2 linked regions of the Oryctolagus cuniculus genome follow. Each later gene encodes a partner of the first gene's protein in a complex. Links are inferred from orthologs where the notes say so. Each region holds a gene or a part of one and is shown in the gene's direction. Other genes may lie near its edges. The genes, in order: CDK5R1 and CDK5.

Region 1 (3,851 bases):
ATGGAGGCTCCACCCCCTTGAAGGAGCTACTGTGGTTTTCGGGGGAATGGGTGGTGGGTGGTTATTGCAGAGTGGGTGGCTATAAAAAACCTTCCTCTCGCTGGTACACGTGCCTCTCCACGTGCCTGCCGGCTTGCTCCTCTGCCTTGCTGAGCCGAAGCCACTGAAGCTGAGCGGATTTGGCTGCCAGGTACACCTCTTTTCTTTATGGATCACCCAGTGCTCAGGTGTTGTGTTTTAGCAACGGAAAATGGACTAAGACAGTTGTATACTGCGGAACTTCAAAGGGGCACGCTGAGCTGACTCGGCCTTCTAAATCAGCAACAGCTGCTGTGGTGGTTCTGCAGGGATAAACTCGCTTTGTGTGTGTGTGTGGGGGGGGGGCAGGGAGCAGCCCTTTGGGTACAGAGTAATGCCTGCGCCGGCACCAAGGTTCCTAAAACTGCGTCGCCACCATGAACGACTTCTGGTTGATAGGTAACTGAATGCTAGCGCTTCCTGACTCGACGGCAGCAAGGTTCGGCGTGGTGCCAGCTCAGTGTCAGGGAATTGGGTGTTCGTTCACCTCTGCACCCCCGGCAGAGAAGAGGTTACCACCCGATCAAAAGCACTAAGTGAACAGTGGTCTTGGCCAAGGGCCTGGGGTCACGTCTGAGGAACGGCTCTTACTGGGACCGGGATTTTACGCAGTTTTATTGGCGTCAGGTTGTCAGATCAGGCGGGTGTAGAAGGGAAAACATCCGAGGCAGAGGCTGGTTGGAGGAGCAGTCGCTTCCGCGTTGCCCTGACAGGTGAGGGTGAGTCGCCCGCCCGGGGCTCCACGGCAGGTTTGGAGTGCGGAACGCGGCCGCGGCCTGGATTTCTGAGACCGCCGCGCGAGGAAACGGAGGCCCCCGGGGGACCGCCGCCACCGGGGGTGCGCGTGGTTCTCAGGCGGCTTCAGGAACGGCCTCGCCTCTCCCCGCCGCAGCCTTCTTTTCCCCAGCTCCTGGGAACGGGCTCCGGGCGCGGCCTCGGCGGAGGGCCCGCTGCGCGTTGCCAGGCCCGGGGCTCGGCCGGCAGCTGCGGGCGCCGCGGCGGGAACAAAGGCAGCACGTGTCTGGGCGGGGCGGCGCGGCGCGGCGGGCGGGGTCGGCGCTCGGCCCCGCCCGGCCCCGGCGCGCCCCGCCGGCCGAGCTCGCCTGCGCGAGCGCCCGGGACCCTCGCGCGACCGGACCGCTGCCGGGGCGGCGGCGAGCAGTGCGGGAGGGGCCGGCGCCGCGTGTCCCCGCCGCCCCTCGCTCGCGGCTGCGTCCTGTCGCACCGCGCGCAGCTCGGGCTGAGGACGCCGGTGGCCGCGGCTCCCGGGTCAGACCGGGCCCGCCTGGGCTCGGCGCGCGCACGGCGCTCGCTCGCTCCCGAGAGGACGGCCTGTGGGGTGCGCGCCGGGGGCGGAGGCGGGAGCGCGAGCGCGGCGAGGGCGGCCGGGCGGGGGGCGGGGCCGCGGCGCCTGCAGAACCTTGGACAGAAGCTTCGGCAGCGCCGCCACCGCCGCCGAGCGCCGGGATCGCGGCGGCGGAGCCGCGGCGCGCACTGCGGAGGGCCCGGAGCGCAGGAGCCCCCGCCTGCCGGGTAAGCCTGCGCTGGGCGAGCGTCTCGCCGCCCCGGGAGCCGGGGCAGGGGCCGCGCGGGGTGTCGAGGCTAGGGTCTGCGGCTGCCTCCGCCCGAGCCCGGGCCCCTCCCGGCTGCGCCTCGGGACCGCAGCGGCGGCGGCGGCGGCGGGCGGGGGTGCCGCAGTGGAGACGGCGAGGCTGCGGCGCGCGGGCGCGGGCGGGGCCGCAGAGCCTGGGGCGAGGGCCCCCGCAGCGGGGGCCTGGGCCTGGGTCCGTGGGGGCCGCCGCCGAGGCGCGGAGCCCCGCCTGGTGCTGAGAACCATCTTGTTTTCCACGCAGATCCGAGGGGCCGCACGCGTCCTAGGAGCGCCCGCTTTGCTCCCCGGGGCGGCCACAGGCGCGGTGAGCTGGTGTTCCCCGCCGGCCGGCAGGCTGGGCGTGCAGCGGCACCATGGGCACGGTGCTGTCCCTGTCCCCCAGCTACCGGAAGGCCGCGCTGTTTGAGGATGGCGCGGCCACCGTGGGCCACTACACGGCCGTGCAGAACAGCAAGAACGCCAAGGACAAGAACCTGAAGCGGCACTCCATCATCTCCGTGCTCCCGTGGAAGAGGATCGTGGCCGTGTCGGCCAAGAAGAAGAACTCCAAGAAGGTGCAGCCCAACAGCAGCTACCAGAACAACATCACGCACCTCAACAATGAGAACCTGAAGAAGTCGCTGTCGTGCGCCAACCTGTCCACGTTCGCCCAGCCCCCGCCGGCCCAGCCGCCCGCGCCCGCGGCCAGCCAGCTCCCGGGCTCCCAGACCGGGGGCTCCTCCTCCGTGAAGAAGGCCCCGCATCCCGCCGTCAGCTCCGCGGGGACGCCCAAGCGGGTCATCGTCCAGGCGTCCACCAGCGAGCTACTGCGCTGCCTGGGCGAGTTCCTGTGCCGCCGGTGCTACCGCCTGAAGCACCTGTCCCCCACGGACCCCGTGCTCTGGCTGCGCAGTGTGGACCGCTCGCTCCTGCTGCAGGGCTGGCAGGACCAGGGCTTCATCACGCCGGCCAACGTGGTCTTCCTGTACATGCTCTGCCGGGATGTCATCTCCTCCGAGGTGGGCTCGGACCACGAGCTCCAGGCCGTGCTGCTGACCTGCCTGTACCTCTCCTACTCCTACATGGGCAACGAGATCTCCTACCCCCTCAAGCCCTTCCTGGTGGAGAGCCGCAAGGAGGCCTTTTGGGACCGCTGCCTCTCCGTCATCAACCTCATGAGCTCCAAGATGCTGCAGATCAACGCCGACCCCCACTACTTCACACAGGTCTTCTCCGACCTCAAGAACGAGAGCAGCCAGGAGGACAAGAAGCGACTCCTCCTCGGGCTCGACCGGTGAGCCCCGGGGCCCACGCCGGGGGCTCGCGGGTTCCGTGCGTTTTTAAAAATTTATTAAACAGAATCGGAGTTTTGTGTACAGTACGTGTCTAGCGAAGCCGCCGGGGCGCTCTCCCTTCCCACCGTCTCTCCTCCGGGTGCGTTTTTGGCCTCACCGGCACCTCTGGGTACTTTGGAGCTCACAGACCTTGTGCAAGACCCAGAAGATGCGGCCAGAGCCGCCAGGCTGCTGGCCTCTCGCTCCGGGGAATGCAAAGGACCGACCCGCCTCTGCTGCTGGTGCCCGGGCTGCCCTCTGCTCCCTGGACGGGTGCTGGAGAGGGGCCCCTGGTCAGGGGCTCCGGGGAGGAACTGGGGTTTGTGCTAGGTGGCTCTCTGCTGGCAGCCGTTTTGAGCCATTCGTTCTCCCAGAGGCCAGCGGGGCGGCGAGCGGGGTTGTGGGGCGAGATCCTCCGCGGCGTCAGCCAAGGTGGGGCGGAGAGCGGCGGCCGTAGTGCGGGGACTGCGTCTGGTCATCTGGCCACACGAGGCCCTGGTTTACTTCTTTTTTAGGGAGAAGGGCTTCCTTTCAGTGGAGAAATGCAACTCGCCCCATCTGCACCCTTGTCCACTGCGCCCAGCTGTGTGGGCAGCGTTGGCCAATAAGCTGGTTTGACTCATTCGGTTCTCTCATTTTGGGTCCTAGCTAAAGGGGTGGGGCAGAGCTGGGGCCGACTCCTCTCCTGGCTGAATTTTTCACTTGAGTGACGCGGACCGGTCACCTGCGGTGTGTGCCAGGACGGCCACAGGTGCCCGTCAGCAGCAGCACGCGTCTTGGGCAGGTGGCATCCACCCAGGTGCCCAGGCCTCTTGCTGGCGCCCACGACGTCCGTCTTGCTGAGCGCC
Region 2 (4,547 bases), on another chromosome or scaffold:
CCCACCCCGGGGCGCGCCCCTGCCGCTCCCAACTTCTCCCAACTCAACTTTCCCCCGCGTCGCGGGCAGGCCAGCCCCCAGCGTGCGCGCCCCCCGGCGCACCGTGCGCGGCCCCGCCGCGGCCAGTGGGGAGGCGGAGAGCGGGGGCCGAGGCCAGGGGGTGGGGGCGCGCTTCCAGGCACAACCCGGCACCAGGAGCCGGGCCCCGGAGGCCGCCCCCGCGGGGGGTCTCTCGGCCTGGCCAGGCGAGGCCGCCGCCCAGGCCTTCCCTGCGCGGGGCTCTGGCGCCCGGGGACGCCGTCTCTTGCTCCATGACGGCACTTCTGGGCGGAGAAGAGCCTGCTTTTCGCTGGAGATCCCAGCCGGCACAGGACGGCCGGGAAAGCCAGGCAGTTTCGATACAAACGCAGCAGGGCCAAGACTCTCTTGCGCCCACCTGCACGCAACCCCCCAGGCCTCCAAGAGAAGCCCCCCTGTCTTTGCACGGGGCACGAGGTGATGGCGGCTGGAGGTTGGCTGTCCCTTACCCCGAGTTGACCTAGGACCGGTCACTTTCAGGGACACAAACGCCTCGCGGCGGCCCCCTCCTCGTCCTTGCTACCTCCCACCCTGAATCGAGTCCTGTTCTTTTAAAGAACTTGTGTGCCATCTTGTTTTCTCAATTAAAAATGCGTTTAGGTAAGGATTATATACTTTTTTGTTTTTTTAGTCTGCCACGTGGGTGAAGCACAGCATTGTGTATGCGAAAGCATTCTGATATAAAGGAATTAATCCACAAATTGTCAGCACCAGTTCTGGTTCCTGGCTGCGGAGTGCTATTTGGGGCTGTTTTCGTCCAGTTCACAGCCCGGAAGAATGCAATCATGAGACAATTAGAGAGCAGCACAGGAAAATCTATAATCAACTGCCGTAAGGGATGAGGTAAAGGCTGCTGTAAGTGTAGCATCTGTCTGTGGTCTTGTCTGTAGAGGGGGTAACCAACCTGTCAGCCCTCGTGGGCCACACCCTTACTGCCTCCAGTGGGCTCTGCTCGGAAGACTGGGATCTGGGGGGACTCCCAGGGCTCCAGCCGGCTCGCCTCATCATGGGCTCCGAGACGACAGATGAGGTCCAGCAGAGGGAGAAGTCACCCTTCCAATCCAGCCAGAAATGGCAAACACCTGCCTCTACCCAGCCCTGGGGTCAGCTGGTCCCTGTGAGGTCATCGTTCCTATTCCCCAATCAACCTTGAGGTCACTGGGAGGCCTGGGGCGAGGTGGAAACCCGCGCTGAGGTCGCTCGGAACTCATCATCACCAACCAGGTCAGAGCTGAGCCACTAGGTCCCGGATCTGGGCCGCCAGACCTCAACCCGAGGGCGCCCTACCCCCACCCCGCCGCATTCTGGAACGCGTAGTCCCAGAGCGACCCTTTTCAAGAAGGCACACAGAAAAGGAGTAACAAGAGCGGGGCACACTGGGAACCGTGGCGTCACGGTGGGGACGCCCAAGGAGCGGACGCGTGATGCTTTCTGGGACTTGGAGTCCAGGGTTTGCCTCCGCGGTCGAACCGGAGTCCCGGGAGTCGAGTGCTGCAGAGGACCTTAGCGCAGCCTGCTGGGGGCTGTAGTCCTCTTGCCCGAGTCTCCGGACACCGCTGGGAAACCTGGCCGTCCTAGGACTACAAGCCCCAGAAGGCCATGCGCAGACAGGAGGCGGGGCGGGGCCGGAGGCTGGGGTGCCGCCTCCTCTGCAACGCCGGGGCCGGAGTCTTAGAACCCAGGGCCCGCAGGGGTCCCCGCGGCTGCCGTGATGCAGAAATACGAGAAGCTGGAGAAGATTGGGGAAGGTAATAGAACCACGAGATGTTCCTGCAAGATCTTCTTCTGCAGACCCTTCGGGATTCCTTGCAGCCTAGGCTCTCCCGTAGTCTGCGGTACCTGCAGGCTCCGACCTCAGCACTGGCTTGCAGCCCTGGCCCCCAAGCTCAGCACTCCGTGCAGACACCAGCCCTGCCCGTGTTAGCATTCTCCGCGGACTCCCACTCCCAACGTTAGCCTCCCTGTGGAGCCGACCTCCCAGCCGCGGCACGTCCTGCGTTTCCCACGCCTAGCTTCAGCACCACTTGCACATCCTCACCCGGACCCCAGCAGATCTTCAGCCTTGACATTTCTGCAGGCCCTCAGTTCTCTCCCAGAGTCCTGCTATGGCCAGACCTCCCGGAGTGCCGCCCTTATTAGCGCTGTCCTTACCCTGGCCTCCGGCTCAGACCCTGGAGCCTCAACCTTTAGGCCTTCCCTACCCTGCAGCGTCCTCACTTACAAAGCTCTTGCAAGCCTGCCCCTCACCCTGAAGCCTTTCCCTTACACACTCAAGTGCCCTTCCCCCTCCCCATTTCCTGGGGATGGGGAGGGTGCCGCATCCTCCCCCTCATCTATGACCTCCTCCCCTTAGGCACTTACGGAACAGTGTTCAAGGCCAAAAACCGAGAGACTCACGAAATCGTGGCTCTGAAACGCGTGAGGCTGGATGACGATGACGAGGTAGGACCGGGGACACCAGGGCAGGGAGTGGCAGATGAGGAGGCCTGGGGTGAGTGGGATCTGACTGCTGCTCCCTCGCTGTGCAGGGTGTGCCGAGTTCAGCCCTCCGGGAGATCTGCCTGCTTAAGGAGCTGAAGCACAAGAACATTGTCAGGTGTGGAGGGGGCAGGGGGCCCTGCAGGTGGAGGAGGAGGGGGCTTCAGCCTGGTTGGGGTGGTGCAGACGTGCAGACCTGCCTGGCTCAGCCCTTGCTTCTCCGTAGGCTTCACGATGTCCTGCATAGTGACAAGAAGCTGACTTTGGTTTTTGAGTTCTGTGACCAGGTGAAAGGGGATGGGGGTGGGCTGAAAGGGAGCAGGCTTGGGAGGGTGTGGGGCCCAGACGGAGGTTCACCTCTGTCCTGTTCCCCCGCTGCATCCCTTGACAGGACCTCAAGAAGTATTTTGACAGCTGCAATGGTGACCTCGATCCTGAGATTGTGAAGGTGAGGGGAAGGGTGTTCTGGGGGCTCTTCGGGGCTGGGGTTCCGGTCTGTATGCAGTGTCAGCTCTCCTGTTTAGGCACAAATCAGGGACTTTCTGGGGGGGGGGTGTCAGAGAAAGAGCAAACCTGCTCCTGCCCTCCAGGGGCCTCCGGGCTTAGCCAGCATTTCCACATGGCCTCCTTGGACCTGTATAGTGACACTCTGAGGCCAACGGCTATTTCCACCCAAAGAGCTACACTCATTTAATCAACAAACATTTGCTGAGAGTACTAGGCCCGAGACCAAGTGCCTTGGCCCAGGTTCCAGGGGAGTCAGGTCCTGAACCATCCCAGAGCACAATATCCATGTTGATGGTGACAGACTGTACACTCAGGTCCAGCCAGGTAGGGGAGAGAGGCATGGGCTGGGAAGGCAGAAGGCCTATCGGGCTATAAGGTCTGGAAGGGCAGGGAGCAGAGCCACTTGTTTCCTGCTGTACGGGCTGCAAAGCCAACCCTCGGCAGTGAGTGCATATAGTGTTGTCCTGAGCTTGGTGCTGGGGATTGGGTAGGACATGGAACAAAGCTGAGGGTGAGGCAGGGAGCATGCCCATGGCTGGCATCACCTCGTAGCCAGGGTGTCTGACTCTGTCCCCTCTGCCCCTCTCTAGTCATTCCTCTTCCAGCTGCTGAAAGGCCTGGGATTCTGTCACAGCCGCAACGTGCTGCACAGAGACCTAAAGCCCCAGAACCTGCTCATAAACAGGGTACTGCTCAGGGGAGAAGGGGAGGGCAGGGGGCAGGAGCCTGCCCTGAGACGTTTAACAGCCCCGTGCCGTGCCTCCCTCCCGTCTCCCCCCAGAATGGGGAACTGAAATTGGCCGATTTCGGCTTGGCTCGAGCCTTTGGGATTCCTGTCCGCTGTTACTCAGCTGAGGTGAGCTGGGGGGTGGGATTTGGAGTTGAGGGGAGCAGTCCCTGGTGTTTTTCAGCTCCTGCTCCATGACCAACCCGAGACAGTGCCCTCTCTTCTCTGAGCTCCCCTCTCCACCCTCCGTCCCAGCCCTCTAAACGGGAGGGCGTCCCTGTGGGTGGGGTCTTCTCCAGGTGGTCACGCTGTGGTACCGCCCACCGGATGTCCTCTTTGGGGCCAAGCTGTACTCCACGTCCATCGACATGTGGTCAGCCGGCTGCATCTTCGCAGGTGACGTGCTGGGGCGGCTCTGCTCTTTCTCCCCAATCTGGGTTGACAAACAGGGTCTGGAGGGTGCCCTCTCGGGGAAGGGAGTAGGGCCCTCGGGTCCGGGAATGGCAGGTGCAGGGGTGCCTCGGAGTGAGGAGTGCGCGGTGCGTCACGGCTGTGCCCCTCTCACAGAGCTGGCCAATGCCGGCCGGCCCCTCTTCCCTGGCAACGATGTGGATGACCAGCTGAAGAGGATCTTCCGATATCCTTTCGCTGCCCCCAGGGCCCTGAGCCCTGGGCCCGCTGGAAGCGGGTGAGGCCGTGGACCGACAGCACAGGTGTGAGGGTGGCGGTGGCCTTGCCGGGATGGCGGGGTCTGCAG

Evidence for each region.
Region 2: the proteins of CDK5R1 (region 1) and CDK5 are in contact, whole or in part, in a crystal structure (PDB 3O0G), measured with the Homo sapiens proteins. The link is inferred for Oryctolagus cuniculus from reciprocal best matches to the Homo sapiens genes CDK5R1 and CDK5. Residues at the interface, in NP_003876.1 of Homo sapiens: Trp190, Gln193, Thr197, Pro198, Ala199, Phe203, Tyr231, Leu232, Ser235, Tyr236, Met237, Gly238, Asn239, Glu240, Ile241, Ser242, Tyr243, Pro244, Leu245, Lys254, Glu255, Trp258, Asp259, Cys261, Leu262, Ile265, Asn266, Ser269, Ser270, Met272; in NP_004926.1 of Homo sapiens: Leu37, Asp38, Glu42, Gly43, Pro45, Ser46, Ser47, Leu49, Arg50, Ile52, Cys53, Leu54, Lys56, Glu57, Val69, His71, Leu76, Arg120, Asn121, Val122, Leu147, Arg149, Ala150, Phe151, Gly152, Ile153, Pro154, Arg156, Cys157, Tyr158.

The regions. Positions count from the first base shown.
Region 1 is NC_091448.1:41,587,785-41,591,635, reverse strand, and holds CDK5R1 (cyclin-dependent kinase 5 activator 1), read left to right. Parts: upstream 1-1,470; 5' UTR 1,471-1,611; intron 1,612-1,931; 5' UTR 1,932-2,043; coding exon 2,044-2,967; 3' UTR 2,968-3,107; downstream 3,108-3,851. UniProt on the Homo sapiens protein: p35 is a neuron specific activator of CDK5. The complex p35/CDK5 is required for neurite outgrowth and cortical lamination. Involved in dendritic spine morphogenesis by mediating the EFNA1-EPHA4 signaling. Activator of TPKII.
Region 2 is NC_091438.1:22,758,780-22,763,326, forward strand, and holds the start of CDK5 (cyclin-dependent kinase 5), read left to right. Parts: upstream 1-1,672; 5' UTR 1,673-1,789; coding exon 1,790-1,826; intron 1,827-2,431; coding exon 2,432-2,520; intron 2,521-2,606; coding exon 2,607-2,674; intron 2,675-2,782; coding exon 2,783-2,843; intron 2,844-2,947; coding exon 2,948-3,004; intron 3,005-3,653; coding exon 3,654-3,749; intron 3,750-3,844; coding exon 3,845-3,919; intron 3,920-4,089; coding exon 4,090-4,186; intron 4,187-4,357; coding exon 4,358-4,427; intron 4,428-4,547. UniProt on the Homo sapiens protein: Proline-directed serine/threonine-protein kinase essential for neuronal cell cycle arrest and differentiation and may be involved in apoptotic cell death in neuronal diseases by triggering abortive cell cycle re-entry. Interacts with D1 and D3-type G1 cyclins.